2 linked regions of the Saccharomyces cerevisiae S288C genome follow. Changing the gene in region 1 together with any one later gene gives a genetic interaction. Each region holds a gene or a part of one and is shown on either strand. Other genes may lie near its edges.

Region 1 (5,724 bases):
TTGATTCTTTACGCCCTTATACTGTCCAGTTGAGTAAGGATTTAAATGGTAATCATGTTATTCAAAAATGTTTGCAAAGGTTGAAGCCTGAAAACTTCCAGTTTATCTTTGACGCAATCTCTGATAGCTGTATTGATATTGCTACTCATAGACACGGGTGTTGCGTTTTGCAACGTTGTCTAGATCATGGGACTACAGAACAATGTGACAATCTGTGTGATAAGTTGCTAGCCCTTGTTGATAAATTAACTTTGGATCCATTTGGCAACTATGTGGTGCAATATATAATTACCAAAGAGGCTGAGAAGAACAAATATGATTATACGCATAAAATTGTCCACCTGTTGAAACCAAGAGCCATCGAACTTTCTATCCATAAATTTGGATCAAATGTGATTGAAAAAATCTTGAAGACAGCTATTGTTTCGGAGCCAATGATTCTGGAAATTTTAAATAATGGTGGCGAGACGGGTATTCAATCATTGTTGAATGATAGCTACGGAAATTACGTTTTACAGACAGCATTAGACATTTCTCATAAGCAAAATGACTATCTCTATAAAAGACTATCAGAGATTGTGGCGCCTTTACTGGTGGGCCCCATAAGAAATACACCTCATGGTAAAAGAATCATCGGAATGTTACATTTAGATTCATAGTTGATACATATATCCTCAGTTTAGCTTTTTTTACGTTAGCCTCATATAATATCTTTTGTACAATACTAAAATACATCATTTTTTTTTTCGTTGAGGATCAAATGAATATCCAAAGCAAAAAAAATAGGAATTTTCACTTTATGGTATACTGGTAAATAGTGTTGAAGAAATAAGAGAAGGAGATGCCCTAGAAAACAGAATGTTCTTATTTAAATAAGTAAACTCAAAAGAAAAAAAAAAGGAAGGAAGTTTTTGAGAACTTTTATCTATACAAACGTATACGTTTAACTATCTGGATAAACGTCGCTCCACAGGATACTGTAGAGGTCCTCAAGATCACCGTTATTAACAAATTCATCTAGTGTCCCCAAATTAAAACTAGTTGCAGAAAAATTGTTACTGTTGTTGTTGTTAATATTGTTAATATTGTTTTTATTGTTGTTGTTGTTGTTGTTGTTGTTATTGATTTCATTTGTGTTCATAAATGGTACTTGTACTGAAGTGGGTATTTGCTGCTGAGCATTGATTGGTTTATTAGATTGGACTTGCGTATTATTTTGCCCATTTGTTGGTTGCGCGTAATCGGGATTGATCATATCAGACACGGATAATGACCTAAATGAAGGCAATTGTGCAAACTCCGGTAGTGAGTTGTTTCTCACTGGGGAAGGTGCTGAGCGACCATTGAATGGCAATTGAGGCGATTCAATGCCATTTAGTAAGCATGAAGTGCCCGTCTTAAGACTTGGGAGATCCGGATTCAAATTTTTTCCCGAATTATGCTTCATCTGCTTATTATCTTCATTTGACATTAGTGGTTCCTGAAACTTTCTATTTTTCAACATTTGTGAGACCGTTAAATGGAATCCTGACTTCTGAACAGGTTCTAATAAAAATCGATAAGCGCAAGAGTTTGTATCCAAGACAAGTTCTATTATACCTTTTAAATCTGGCGCATTCTCATCAATATATTTGGAGATAACATCGAGGTTGGTGCTAGAGGACTCTCCGTATGCCAAAAGCATGATACGAGTGACGATTGTCAGGAAAGAAAAAGCTCTTGTATAGTCTTTAAAGCTTTGGCTGTTGAAGACATGCTCATTGGTCTCATTTTCGGAAAAAATTTTTATATCCAAAAATCTTTTGAAGACTCTAATCATATTCACAACGTCATTTACTTTAATGAATTCGGCCACTGAGAATGCTTGTGATACCAAAATAATGCAACTGATAGAATAATGGGCGAACGAACGGTATACGGAATAATCGTTGTCAAAGTCTAATAAGATTTTGTTCATATCGGTCCATGATTTGTAAATCTTGTGAAGGTATATTTTCAAGTTTTCAATTAGTATTGAGGGCCTTCTGTGCACGCATAATCTGGCGACAATATTATCAGATTCGTTAACCATTCTGCAGAAATGGTGCTCGTAAAATAGAACAAATTTTGAAGCCATAATCTTATCCTCTCTTGAAACTTTGAGTTCAGTACTATCTTTAGAGAATGCAATATCGAACAATTTTCCAGTTTGCTCTTTGATAGCATCATATTTCATTTCTGTTTCGTTAAAAATCTCGAGTACCTCGAAGAGTAGTTTCTCTCTAACAACAGATGGTTTTGATGTATTCCTAATTGACGTGAATTTTTCATTGAATAAAACAGATGATGAGAAATGGCTGACTATTTGTAAGACAGCTAATTCGCCATAGTATTTTAAGTCGGATATGCACATGTTGTCAAAAGCTTCGCTCCTGCGAACTAAGTGGACGTTCTCGATAAAATCTCTATTATCCAAGAACCCAACATCTCGAAAATTCTTAGGTAATAAACAATTGATTTTGGAGTCATCAATGTTCGAAGGATAGCCAAGTTTAGAGGCTAAAGTTTTCTCGAAATAGAAAGCTTTCCACCAGAGATTTCTTCTTCTTTCAGCAAAGTTTTCATCAAGACCCACGTAAAATTCCCACCTTGATAAACCAACTCTTGAAACAAAATGAACTGCTACGTTCAAGACTTTTTCAAAACCGTATATTTCCGATAGCCAAAATAGCAGATCCAAAAAGTATAGAAGTTGCTCTAAATGCGTTATGTCGCATGTGAAGTCCACGTAGTTGTATAATGTAGAATTATAATAGCTGTAACATAAGGCGATTAGCGCCTCTCCAGCTTGACAATAATGGATGAATTCCTGCAAGACATCAATTGACTGCGTGTTTTTAGCCACGGAGGGGTTAGATGTGATTTCCATTAGGAAGTTCTGGTAGGAATTTTTATGCATATCCAACATCTTCAATAAAATGCCAAACATGCTGATATCATTATTCATTTCGCTTAGTAGCTCAGAATTACTTATTCCGGTTATATTTCTCACAAAGGGCTGCGGTAAGTGATTTATCACTAACGCAACATGCGATTTTGTGTGTGCTGTATTCGGGCTCCCTGCAGATGATATCGAAGATGGGGTTGAAGGTAAAAGATTCATTTTCTGTAGGTAGTTTTCCAGGGGATTAGCTATGGAGACACAGCCTTGGTTGATGTGATGAAAACAAACGTCGAAAAACCTTAACATGATGTATATGGTTTCCTTGGCGGTCCTGGGAAAAATCTCGCATTTGGATTTGGATCTATAATTTTGGAAACATTTACCAATACCTTGAAGTGACAAAAATTGGAAAGGAGAGTACAAACCAAAGATTTCGTCGATCAAAGGTTGACTAGAAGTATCTTGGTCCTTCTTATTGTTTGACCAAGCGGCATATCTTGTCAAATGTACCACATCACAGTATTTGTTTTTCATCAATTGAGTTTCTATTGATTTATTAGGGTAAAATTTCGTTGTTGCTAATTCTTTGGTCCTCACTTTGGGTTCCCATCGCTTAAGCAAGTCACTTATCTGAAGTTCAATGCTCTCGATGGCTGAGGTTACATGTGTACCTAAATGAGCCATCTCCTTCAAATTTTTCAGAGTGGTTTGTAGAGATGTCAAAGTTGCCTGTGATTCGCTATCGTCTTCATAAAAACCGTTTCTATTCACATCGTCGTCATTCTTCCCATCACTTCCGCTATTATCACCACTACTACGACCACCTAGCTTGAAATTCTCAAAAAATTTCGTTGGTTGTTCCACTGCGCATGGCCCGTCTGTACATCGCTGAGGATTAGAAAAAGAAGTCGAACTGGAATCTGTTTCCTCTTTGACTTGTACGGTTGTACCTTCCAAACTCGTCTTGTGAAGGTTTTTTATTCGAGCGCCACCTTGTCTAGTGCTGAACGTGCACTCACATGAATATATCTCACAGCTTGCGCAGGGAAACTTCCCATTACATTTTATCTTTCTTTTTCTACAGTTATCGCACGCTTTACTTACTTTCGACCTTGGCTTACGAATCTTGCCGCTGAAACCTGTAGAAAAGTTGCTGGAGTCCGCGGACGATTCTGTATCCGGACCCGTCTCAATATGTACACCGTTCTTAGGTGTCAAGCCTCGCATCTTCCAGTTTCTTGGATTCTTTTCTGTATATTCTTGGCTGAGATGAATAGTTAGCAAGTGATGTGCAAATTGTCTTTTTTTAGCCAAAACTCACTCCTGGTAATGTCTATATGGCCGCTATGGTCCTGCTATCATGCTATTGTTGACAATGAAAGAGTGGCTGATCATGTGTAATAGGCGAATAAGGTTGTTTTGAAGAGCTTTAATTAGCGCCTCTTATTGCCACTCATTAGGTCTTGAACAAGAAAAGAAACTCCATTTAGGGTATGCGTCTGTTTCCAACAAAGCCCTATTGGACCCTGAGAATGTAAATCAGGGCTCGTTTCTTCTCGTTTAATAACTAAACGAGACTCATTTCTTTTTCGTTCCTTGGCGCTATTTTCGTGCATCCCGTAATTGCCGGTATTACGCGATCGTTTGGCGTTACTATGGAAAAGCAGAATTATATATCCTCGAGGAAAAATTACCAAACAGTGGTAATAACGTAGGAATGTAGTTCAGTTATGTAGATAGGCAGATACGGATATTTACGTAGTGTACATAGATTAGCATCGCTATGGCAAAGGATAATAGTGAGAAGCTGCAGGTGCAGGGAGAGGAGAAAAAGTCCAAGCAACCGGTTAATTTCCTGCCTCAGGGTAAATGGCTGAAGCCAAATGAAATCGAATATGAGTTTGGTGGGACTACTGGTGTTATTGGTATGCTGATCGGGTTTCCACTGCTAATGTACTATATGTGGATTTGTGCGGAATTTTATCACGGTAAGGTTGCCCTACCCAAGGCTGGTGAATCGTGGATGCACTTTATCAAGCACCTATACCAGTTAGTCTTGGAGAACGGTATCCCAGAAAAGTATGACTGGACTATTTTCTTAACATTTTGGGTGTTTCAGATCATTTTCTACTATACGTTGCCCGGGATTTGGACAAAAGGTCAACCATTGTCTCATTTGAAGGGAAAACAATTGCCTTACTTTTGTAATGCCATGTGGACCTTGTATGTAACTACCACTTTGGTCTTGGTTTTGCACTTTACCAATCTTTTTAGATTGTATGTCATTATTGACCGTTTTGGGAGGATCATGACATGTGCCATTATTTCAGGGTTTGCCTTCTCCATCATATTGTACTTATGGACTTTATTTATCTCACATGACTATCATAGAATGACAGGAAACCATCTATATGATTTCTTCATGGGAGCTCCACTAAACCCTAGGTGGGGGATTTTGGACTTGAAGATGTTTTTCGAGGTTAGATTACCTTGGTTCACCCTTTACTTTATCACTTTGGGTGCCTGTTTGAAGCAGTGGGAGACTTACGGCTATGTGACACCACAATTGGGGGTTGTCATGTTAGCTCATTGGTTGTACGCGAACGCATGTGCTAAAGGTGAAGAATTGATTGTTCCAACCTGGGACATGGCTTACGAAAAGTTTGGATTTATGCTGATCTTCTGGAATATTGCCGGTGTCCCATACACTTACTGTCATTGTACGTTGTATTTGTACTACCATGACCCATCTGAATATCACTGGTCTACACTGTACAATGTTTCGCTGTACGTTGTTCTAT
Region 2 (3,644 bases), on another chromosome or scaffold:
TGTGCACTAACGGCCTATCACCTTGGCTAGTCATCCAGTACAGCGTCCCCGTGGCTGTGGCCATGGCAGCAGCTGCACCGGCAGCTCTTCTTCTCGTTACCGAAAACATATATTAGTACGTATTTAGTCTTGTAGCAGTGATGGCAATAGCACGGTCAAGATAAGGGAGGGAGAGTCCTTGCTTTAGACCAAAGTTCCCTATTTGTGGCTGTTCTCTTTTAAGTTTAAATACGATTTTTAGCGTGCGGGGTTGTGAAATTTCCCCTGCCAAAACTGAAATAAAGTTGGGTGGATAACGTATCGGAGCAGAGAAAAGACATAAGGTCTGTTGCTGTATATAAGTATGTGTTGCTAAAAAGGAATTAGTGCAGTGATTATTGGTCACTCGCTGATGCCCTTGCGCTTGGCACGTTTCAGCTTCTTTCTAACCGCGAGGATGGGCACAGAGCAGACGAAGTTCTGCAGAGTGGACAGGATGACCGAGAGGGAGCAGCACAGGGCGACTGGCTTGAGGCCGTGGATCATCTCGTTGAGGAGGTGTTTTGGGTACGGATGGGTCAAGGAGAGGACGACGACGTCGAGGTCGTCGAGCACGCCCGCGACGCAGTCAAACAGGTGCATGACGTGCTTTCTGATTCTGGCAACGTTGGCGAACATCTGGGAGTCGTCCGTGGGCTTCGAGGGCTCCCAGTGGACAATGTAGACGGTGTCTCCCTGGTTGACAGCTGCGCCCATGAGATAGGTCAGGGCGTAGGTGGACTCGCTGCTCAGGTCCGTGTAGAGGATGAAGGACCTTTGGTTCCCGGCCTCTGCGCCGGCACCCTTGGTGAGTAGTTGCATGGCTCTGACGTAGCCTCCGTCGAGTTGCTCCAGAGACACGTCTTCGTTTTCGTGGCCACGGATGCTGATCTCGTACTTGGCTATCCAGGGCTTGCTGGAGTCTAGCACTTCGTTTATGCTGGTACAAAAGTTGGGTAACACTTTCATGCCCAGATCGTAGTGGAACTCCTCGTCAATCTCTAAATCGTTCTCTATATCGCTCACTTGCTCTTCATCGGACTCTTCCTCGTCCATATCGTCGCCGTCGCCGTCGTCGTCATCTTCGTCGTTGCCCTCACCTTCCTCTTCAGAATCCACATCCACGACCCTCAACCGCATCGAGGGGTCCTGCCTCAACACGGTCCACTTGAGGAACTCTTCCTCCCTTACTCTGCTGCGGCTACTGGCCCTGCTTCTCGACCGCGACAGACTGCTCACGTTTGAGTCTCGTTCGCCTCTTTTCTTCTTGCTACGACCTCTTTCCCTGTGGCCCCTTTCCATCTGCTCCGAGTCGAACTCCACCGTGGTGGGCGTTTCCGTTTTGATGCTGTGTAGATTCGATTGTGTTCCGTCAGGTTTAGTCAGCAATATGCTCTTCTGCATTGCGTACTTGGTTGTTTCTCTTGTTGGTTCTTTTGGTACTCACCCTTTCCATAGTCTCTTGTGTTTGATCAAGCCTTTTTTCCGGACCTTTAAAGCTTTCTTAAAAAGATAAAATAGGAAGAAAGTGCAAAGTGCAAAAGAACGCACATATGAACAAGCATTAAACGAGCAAAGAAATGTCTCTGGATCGTGTAGATTGGCCGCACGCCACCTTCTCTACGCCGGTGAAGCGTATCTTCGATACGCAGACAACGCTGGACTTCCAATCGTCACTAGCCATTCACAGAATCAAGTATCATCTTCACAAGTACACTACGTTGATATCGCACTGTTCTGACCCCGACCCGCACGCTACTGCGTCGTCGATCGCCATGGTTAACGGGCTGATGGGAGTGTTGGACAAGCTGGCACACCTGATCGACGAGACACCGCCTCTTCCAGGTCCTAGAAGGTATGGTAACCTAGCATGCCGCGAGTGGCATCACAAGCTGGATGAACGTTTGCCTCAGTGGCTGCAGGAAATGCTTCCCTCGGAATACCATGAGGTGGTGCCTGAATTGCAGTATTACCTGGGCAACAGCTTTGGTTCGTCGACAAGATTGGACTACGGCACGGGCCACGAACTTTCGTTCATGGCCACGGTCGCAGCACTGGACATGCTGGGGATGTTTCCGCACATGAGGGGGGCAGACGTTTTTCTGCTGTTCAACAAGTACTACACGATCATGAGGAGGCTGATCCTGACGTATACGCTGGAGCCCGCTGGGTCACATGGCGTGTGGGGGCTTGATGACCATTTCCACTTGGTGTACATCTTGGGCTCGTCTCAATGGCAGCTGCTTGATGCGCAAGCACCCTTGCAACCAAGAGAAATACTGGATAAGTCTCTGGTGCGCGAGTATAAGGACACCAACTTCTACTGCCAAGGCATAAACTTTATTAATGAGGTGAAAATGGGGCCCTTTGAAGAGCATTCCCCCATCCTATACGATATTGCCGTCACCGTTCCACGCTGGTCCAAAGTGTGTAAGGGGCTTCTAAAAATGTATTCTGTAGAGGTTCTGAAGAAGTTCCCCGTGGTGCAACATTTCTGGTTCGGCACAGGCTTCTTTCCCTGGGTCAACATTCAAAACGGCACTGATCTTCCAGTCTTTGAAGAAAAGGAGGAAGAGAGTATAGAACAGGCTAACGCAGGATCGCCCGGTCGAGAACAGACTTCAACACGATTCCCAACGTCCACGTCAATGCCTCCCCCAGGCGTTCCGCCGTCAGGTAACAATATCAACTATTTACTAAGCCATCAAAACCAGTCGCACCGGAACCAGACTTCTTTTTCAAGAGATAGACTACGTAGATAATATTAATTAAACATATAAATGTGTATGACAAGCATTATGACTTCTATTTTCGTTCTTTTTTACTTGCGTCTACAATATATAAGCATATAATCAGATGAAAAAAGGAAAAGGAAGCGGTAATACAAATAAACAAAGAAGTGGAAAAAGTCGCCACAGTGTAAGCAAATGAGTCACAAGAGAAGGGGCCTGGTAATATATCAGGATCAGAAGCAGCAACAACAACACCCCCCGGGGCAGTCCCTAAGCTCTATATCCTGGTCTCCAACCAGGCGACCTCATCACCCTTTAAAACAACAAAGCACCAACAGTTTCTCAGAAATACTATCGAAATCAAGTGTGCAACCGAACGTGCAACATGACGGTAATCATATGCCCATTTCATTGCTAGTTCTGAAACAAGAACATCATAAGCAGCAGCAGCAGCAGCAGCAGCGCCAGAATATCCGATCACAAAACTCTACGCCTCCCCTGCGACAGTTGGTTCAGGAGTCGCAGTGGACGAGCTCCGCAAGTAATAGTTCTCTAAAGAAACAGGAAAAGCAGCCGCAAACATTCTACAACACTGACTCTAAACTTGTTTCTCAACTGCATAGCTCCGTGAAGGACCTGGATGCCATAATCCAGACGCATAAACCAAAGTTTGACACAATTATTCGCGATTTCTCTCAAGCAACCATACTGTCCTCAAACGAGTTACTCATCAAACTTCCGAAGGACCAAACAATAATATTGCATAGCAGAGCGCCAAAAATTAACGCAGAATGGCTACAGAACAAGGTTAATGACCCTAGTGCCTCGTTAGTGATCGATTCAAGATCTTTTCTAACCTTGTGTAACAATATAAAATGGTACCTGCATTGGAAA

The links.
Region 2: mutations in PDR1 (region 1) and RRD1 together harm fitness more than expected from each alone (negative genetic interaction), as found in Saccharomyces cerevisiae (2 studies listed by BioGRID).

What each region holds. Positions count from the first base shown.
Region 1 is NC_001139.9:468,149-473,872, forward strand, and holds PDR1 (drug-responsive transcription factor PDR1), read right to left. Parts: upstream 4,151-5,724; coding exon 944-4,150; downstream 1-943. Other genes in the region: PUF4 (Puf4p), read left to right, coding at 1-659; ERG4 (delta(24(24(1)))-sterol reductase), read left to right, coding at 4,707-5,724. UniProt on the Saccharomyces cerevisiae protein: Positive regulator of proteins involved in permeability. PDR1 and PDR3 jointly control the transcription level of both SNQ2 and PDR5.
Region 2 is NC_001141.2:53,600-57,243, forward strand, and holds RRD1 (peptidylprolyl isomerase RRD1), read left to right. Parts: upstream 1-1,598; coding exon 1,599-2,780; downstream 2,781-3,644. Other genes in the region: GUT2 (glycerol-3-phosphate dehydrogenase), read right to left, coding at 1-109; IMP21 (Imp21p), read right to left, coding at 382-1,422; VPR1 (Vpr1p), read left to right, coding at 2,946-3,644. UniProt on the Saccharomyces cerevisiae protein: PPIases accelerate the folding of proteins. It catalyzes the cis-trans isomerization of proline imidic peptide bonds in oligopeptides.